Linked DNA regions of Lytechinus pictus. The protein of the gene in region 2 purifies or fractionates together with the protein of the main gene of each other region. This does not show direct contact. Links are inferred from orthologs where the notes say so. Each region holds a gene or a part of one and is shown on either strand. Other genes may lie near its edges.

Region 1 (3,759 bases), on a different chromosome or scaffold from region 2:
AAAATTACTAGTTTACGAACTAAAGCAAGAGATTGAAAAGAAGAAGATGCAATTCTGGTTTATTACGCCAATAAAGTGGAGACTGAAAAGAGACAAGTGACACACAACTACGAGGTTGGTAGAGACAGGTAAGACATGTTTTACGTTGTGAAAAATTGTCCGTGTATCCGAGTCACCAGGGACTTGGATCACGATAATGACGTTTGAGCATGTATTTTCAGCCCGAGTCATATTAATTATTTTGAAAACCGGTGTTCGACAGCTTTAATTCGATCGAACATCGACGCATCAAATTTTGAGGGCGGGGAAAATCGAGTAATTTTTTTTGCTCCGGTCGATGCACTGCATGCACTGACTGACGGCGGGAAGCGCTGGCCGCGCCGCCGGGTGAGCGTTGCACAAGCAGATGACAGAGCAAAGTTCGTTTGTATTTTCCATGATCACAAAACACAAAAAAGGCCGGGGACCAATGCAGAATTCTTCCCAAAATATCTTCAACAATGATATTTGCAGATGACAACATATAAGTTTAAAATGAAACAATATTAAAGACATGAATCACGCAGAGTCGATCCGAATGATTTTCGGTCAACTAGCATTCGCAGTCCATACTCGCACACACCAGCCCCGTCCGCAGCCTGAGATTGTGTAGTTGGATCCAAAATGAGCTCCAAATAAATTGATGGGAATAAATATGTAATTTTCTCTGGATGGTCATTTGAATTGGTATTCAATGTTGATATAACGATTGTGAGGAAAGATTGTAGAATATGAGTTATGACGATGTTAAAGAATTAATCCTGATAATGATAACCCATTTTTTTATTTTAGACACAAAAGCATGCGATCGAAATTAAGGGATGTCTCGGATCGAGCTCTAAATTCATACAAATTATTATTGGATGTTAAATAATTACGATTTAATAAAATTTTATGGCCATACTAAAAATATTGACGATGTCAGCAAAGTATGTTATGTTCATATGGAAGAATTGATAGTATTATACTGGCATTATTTTTATTCTATCTCTGGACGTCTCCGAGCTCCGAGAAAAGAAGCACAATGCGCATGCGCGCTCGATGACGTATGACATATTTTCCATTCATGAAATCAGAGCCCAAAGTTGGGCACAAACTAGACAGCTGGCAGCCGTCTGTTTCGAGGAGTTTTTTAACATGTTTTTATTTTTTAAATTTCTCCTCATACACAGACGGCTCGCTATCGTGCAGCCACCATTATGGGACTTACAATGCAAAATCCCCCTGTCGGGGCTCTTCAATTTTTGTCTTTAATGAATCAAACTTTTGAAAATTAACGTGACCGAAATGCAAATTAATATTCCCTCTTGGCATTAATTGCCAAAAAACGGGGAAAATCAAGTTAAAAGGAACAAAAACAGTGACTTACCTCGGCTGTCGCGCAACTTCACTGCCCTGTTTTATCCAAACTTAATACACATAAACATATGGCCATTGAGTCCCCTGTACAGATCACGCTAGAACTTCGGTCTCTGTATTTGGTGAGTGAAGCCAACGGAGTTCAGCTAAACAACCAACATAACAGAGACCGAAGCTTTTGGTCTAGGCACAAACTAGCTTCAAATTGATGGGAAAAAATATCAAACGCAATTTTCTCTGTTTTGTCATGTTAAATGTTATTAGGGCCTATATGGTGATATTACGATCTTGAAAAGAGTTTCTGCATGTTGACAATGTTCGAGAATCAATCCTGACGTGATAATTATTTTTTTAGACAAGTGCACTCACTCAAGTCGATCGTCATGTGATGTCCGTCATTGAAAATTGAAACGAAATACAAACGTTTCACATCAAGATCTAAATTCATATTAATGATTATCATATGCAGATTATAATATTGTTAAATATTACGATTAAATCATGTTCTATGGTAATAATTGATATTAATATTGTTCATGAAAGCAAGATTTATTTTACGTTGATCGCGTCAATTTTCCGGCCATTTTCTGGTTTATAATAAAGCACAGTACTGCGCATGCACGATCGATGGCGACTTCCATTCATGAATTCATCGTGCATAAATTATCTCGGCACGAGCAGACAAGAACTAAGTATGATCGAAATAAACTTCAAATGGTGAATAGGCATCATATTCATAATTACACAATCGGTTTCATTTTGGGGGCAATATAAATCAAGTAGTAGTAAAGTTAGACATTACTGTTTATTTTGATGATTGATTGTGTGAACCAAACGAATCGGCCGGCCGACGTATTTCTTTTAATTTTTTTTTGATGCACCGATTTTGCAAAATCTGCATCGGCGGTCGATGACGATGACATCGATCGAACACTGATTTTAAAATCGATTCGACTCAGGCTTAATGTATTTCTCTCTGAAACCCACATTTTCTTTGAAATAAAAAGTGTAACATTTTTTCTGACTCGCACTGTACTGTACATATTGCCCTAGGCTTAGCAGTGCGACTGCGAGTGGCGCAACTGTGTCTGTGTCTAGTTTTGTGCAGTGCAGAAGAAGTTTAAGTCTGTAAGTTACGTTACTTTGTCTTGACTGCGGCGCGGTGTCTGTTATTTTTGTGTGTCTGGGTTTTTTTTGCCTGTTAATTTACCTTAAAGAAGGAACCCATAATCTAGTTGTTCTATCCCTGGATGCAGTTATGATTGATCCTTCCGGGAATAAACCAGCAGCAACGGCTCGTACATCAGATTCGTGGCCAGCAAGAGTGCATGAAAGCTTGAAAGGCAGAGCCATGTTGAATTTTGCTTTATTGACGACTCATTCATTCATTCCAAATAAGCCACAGGTGTATGCCGTGTATGTACGTACGTGTGCGTATGGGTGTTACGACCGGCGACTATAGCGTGCGACCAATAAGGATTATAAAGCTGGAAGACGAAAAATGATACCTATACCTACCTATTTTTTAGCACAGTGTTTACAAAAGCACAAACTGAAATTAAACTACACGACGGTGGTAATAACTCTATATAATATCGGGTAAAAAAACGTTTAGATCCTACATTTAACAAAAACAGTTACATGTATGTGCTGCTCCAAGATCAGACCCGTAGATAAGCGGGGGGGGGGGGGGGGGGTATCTTGGTTCGCTGAACCCTATTCCAGCGTTGTCCAACATGGAAGAAGACTGCATATACAGTGCGTATTAAAAAAAACGGGACAGATTTGAAAAGTCTATAAAATTTTTGTTTCAAATTATGATGTCCATATATTTTGGTGTTAATATGTGCTCTGAAGTCTTATCGTTCAAATGCCATTTTAAAAATCAAATTTTGTTCATGCTTGAGCAAACACGGAATGTTTTTGTCTGGGGTTATAAAGGAGGCTTGCGCCAAACTGGCATAAAATGAGAAATATGATGATCGGACTTATTGCTAATCAGTATAGATTTCCCCTTAACCTTTTCATTATCTTTGCCATAATTTTCAAATTATGCGGTCAAAAATCATTTTCAAATCTATTTATTTGCTTGAATTGTCCTGTTGTTGTTTCTTTTTAATATGTTCTCTAGCTTTGAATATTCCTTCTAGCAAAAACAATTCTTTACTAACCGAAGTATGGGAGAGCGTGTATTTTTTTTTCAAATCCTTTCATTATGTGCTACAAAAGTTATGGTGCCTTTTGAACAGTGCCATACAGATGGGCGGGGGCTCTGGGATGCTCCCCTCCCACTCAATTGAAAAAATAATGACCAAGAAAAAAAAGTGGAAAGCAAAAATTCCAACAAAAAGTCCTTGAAAT
Region 2 (3,759 bases):
CAACCTCTGAGTGAATGAAAGACTCTAGAACGGGAAGACAGAACACTTCACTGACTTCGCGTAACACTTTAGACCACTCATACGATTGCGAGGTTAGTATGCTATACTAACCTCGCACACCGAACCGTGTTTGGGTCTGGATTTTGAAGAAGTCGACAAACATCGCTTCATTACACTACAGAAATAAAATTTGCCGAAACACCTTTTTACTACTCACCGGAACTCTTCAGGAGGCAGGGTAGCTCAGTCGGTTAGAGCGCCTGTTCCGGATAAGATCGTAGATCTCAACGTGCGTGGGTTCGAGTCCCGCAGCATGCCGGAAGACGTTTAACAAAAAAAATCTTATGCTAGCATTGTATGTTAGCGTGCCTCACCGCTGTGTTCAGTGAGGGTGTGAATGCAGTTGGAAAACACTCCGTCCATCGGAAAGGACGCAAATGTTGGTCCCGTGTATAGGAGAGTCACAACCTATGCACGTTAAAACCAATACAAAAAAAAGAGCAAAATCGCTTACCTCGGCCTGGAAAGTGGCTTTGCATTCTAATGTACATCCTCTTTCACAGAATAAAAGGAAGCTCGATGGTGGTGCTAATGATATTCACAACCTTAATTCAGCTCGTTTTATAACTGTGTCTAAATTCATTGCATGCGCAAGGCTACAGGCTAATTGTTTGATAAAATATGGACACCAATAAATGTAATACCTTCAAAAACATACTTTTAGATTATTATTGCTAACACTTTTTGGAAATCATTTAAAGTGACAACAAATTAGTGCTGTTATCGATAACCTAGATCTAGTCCTGTCGATAAGCGCATGTTTTTGCCACTTAGCGATATATCAGTAACCTGTCTCACGTTGTCCCAAGTCTCCAATATGGGAGAGAGTCTCCCAATACTTTAGACTATAAAGTGGCCGTGCGCCTCTAACATTACACCGTCTAAACTCATTTCGTCTGCAACCAGTTCGGCTAATATCCAATTTGTCTAATTCCCACTTGGTCTAATATCCAATTCGTCTAATTTCCATTTTGGCTAATAACCAGTTGGGCTAATTCTCATTTGGTCAAATATACAATTCGTCTGATGACCACTTGGTCTAATAGCCAAATGGTCTAATCCATTTGGTCTAATGACCACTTGGTCTAATCACCAATTGGTCTAATGCCCAGTTGGGCTTATCGGCACTTGGTCTAATTCACACTTGGTCTAATGTCCATTTATTATACAAGGCATTCATAGAGCCACACATAACTTATGGAATCGAGGTGTGGGGGAGTACTTACAAGAGTAGCTTAAATTGTATATTTTACACCCAAAAAATGGCAGTACGTGCCATCACATTCAGTGAGTGGCGAGCTCATACACGTGTATTATTTCAGAATTTAAAGATCCTAAATGTATTTGAAATGCACAATTTATCTATATGTACCTTCATGTATGACCTGGGTAATAATAACTTACCTCACTCTTTAGTAGATTATTGCGATGTAATAGAGCATAGATACCCAACAAGACAAAAAGAAGGTCGACAAGTACATTTACCAAAATTACGGACTACTCAAGGACAATTCTCTCTATCTTTCTTAGGAAGTGATTACTGGAATAATGTACCATTAGCCATCAAACTAAAAGTATCCAGAAACGATTTCAGGAATTCATTACAAAATCATTTATTAAATCAATAACTTATCATATTGCTCTGTATATAACATAAATGTTACACTCATAATTTTATTATTTTTTTTTTTTTTGTAGTTGTTGTTTTTGTTGTTTTTTTTAAAAAAAACATACTTTAAAGTTCAATATTCGCCTATATTACTAATATGTATAGGGGCCAGGCTCGATTAGCACTTGTGCTATTTTCTGGTCCCTTTTATCAGCTCTTAACATATACATGTATGTTTCATTTCTGTAATATTTATATGCATGACATAATAATGTAATATGTAAACATCTGTAAATATGTTGTTATCGTTGGTGAATAAAATCAAATCAAATCAAATCAAATCAAATCAAATAATTCATTATCATTTATTTGATTTTAGAATTAACAAATATTGTAAGTAATGGATACATATCATGGATCAGTTAATACATGACGCCAGGATCCGGAGGACGGGCCGGAGGGGTAGAGCTGGGGTAGGGCTGCTGGGCGCAAAACCTCGACGTGAAAGTCTATCGATGACGAGATAGTTGCTCATCAAATGAATTATTCTAATCAAATATAATTCTTATAATTAGGCCTACCGGTATATATCGATAATATAGATGATGATGAAAACTATATCATACTCATCATTACATCATTGCATGCACATCATTACATCATTGCATGCACATTTAAAGAACAATAAGTTGGGGACCTTGTAGCTTATAATGATCGAATGGCAGGGTTTTATCAGAATAACATTATGAAGAAAGGAACGAATTACTATAATTGTGTGGATACGTATCTGGTAAACATGTTTATGCCTCTTTTAAATCATTGTTACAAGTATGCACCATATGTTATGGACAATACTTGAAGTTGATGTAAAATAAGCAATAGTTATCCAGCTTGGGTATTCCAAAAGTTACAAAGCCATTAGATCATGTATTGTTATGAATATTTTGTTTAGTTATTTCAATAGTGAGTTTGGAGGCATATAACAGACCAGTTTGATAACACTATACAGGTTTATTGGGTTAGCTGCGACAACATCACATCGACCATCTTGGTGGCAGCCATGACTCATTCTGACGTGTAATAACATAGTATAGCCTACGCTTGCCGATCTTTATCAGTTATCACCACAGTAGTCATTAATCTTATATAATCTTCTAATTCTGTTTTTTTAACTACTTCTTCGCCTCCTCCTTAAAATGGATTGGCAGGGTTCCCAGCCCATCAGGGATATCAAGGAAATAAGGGATTTCTTTTTTATTATTCCAGTCAGGGAAAAATCAGGGAATTACCTCAAATCAGGGGAAAATGCCTTAAATGAGGGCAAAATCAGGGGATCTTGATCGGCCCAAAAGTCGAAAGCACGATAGCCAGTCAGACACTGTTATATTTTGTTGTATATTAAAACAACATTCATTGAATGACATTTTATGGTGTTTTTTTTTTTAGTGTAGCCTCTTTTACTACAGTACAAGTAGGCCTCATGGTACATAATTAAACATAAAAGTAGGCCTACATGTATATAAAAAAATAATAATACAAGTAATCCACTGCAACAACTTAAAAAACATGAGAAACTGGGAATAGGTTTAAATAATAATCAGGGAATTTTTAAACTTCATCATAGAAAAATCAGGGATTTTTGTTTTGAAAAATTGGGAACCCTGATTGGGTTAAGCCAAGAAGATTCTATGACTAGAGTTCCAACAGGCAACAAATTTATTCAAGCAGCTGTTCATTTCTAAAGAAGCACAAAAGAAAGAACGGCAATAAGGACCTTTTTGATGTCCGCCTTCGAAGCCGCCAGTTTCAATGAAGAAATCCGAGGGGTGAAATTTTACGAATATTCATTTGTATCAACTTTTCATGTTTCATATTAATAAACAAACTGAAGTTTGAATGCATGACAAAACATCAATAACCAAGCACTATTACGACGAGATATTTGCCCATATTATATCAATTAACCTTTAATTAGTGAAAAAAGAAACAATTTGACCTTTACTGAAACCAGATTTTAACACTTTTCCAATCGTTTGCGGCGAATGGAAATTTCAAATGTGGTCAGTGGAATATTGTTATTCATTACTGTA

The links. Proteins that work in one complex are often made in the same cells at the same time.
Region 1: the proteins of histone deacetylase 6-like (region 2) and phospholipase A-2-activating protein-like purify together in Homo sapiens (affinity purification with mass spectrometry; 4 studies listed by BioGRID and IntAct, with this or other methods). This does not show direct contact. The link is inferred for Lytechinus pictus from reciprocal best matches to the Homo sapiens genes HDAC6 and PLAA.

Annotation. Positions count from the first base shown.
Region 1 is NC_087255.1:20,579,124-20,582,882, forward strand, and holds the start of phospholipase A-2-activating protein-like, read right to left. Parts: upstream 2,817-3,759; 5' UTR 2,752-2,816; coding exon 2,609-2,751; intron 1-2,608. UniProt on the Homo sapiens protein: Plays a role in protein ubiquitination, sorting and degradation through its association with VCP. Involved in ubiquitin-mediated membrane proteins trafficking to late endosomes in an ESCRT-dependent manner, and hence plays a role in synaptic vesicle recycling.
Region 2 is NC_087247.1:75,157,711-75,161,469, forward strand, and holds the start of histone deacetylase 6-like, read right to left. Parts: upstream 2,184-3,759; 5' UTR 1-2,183.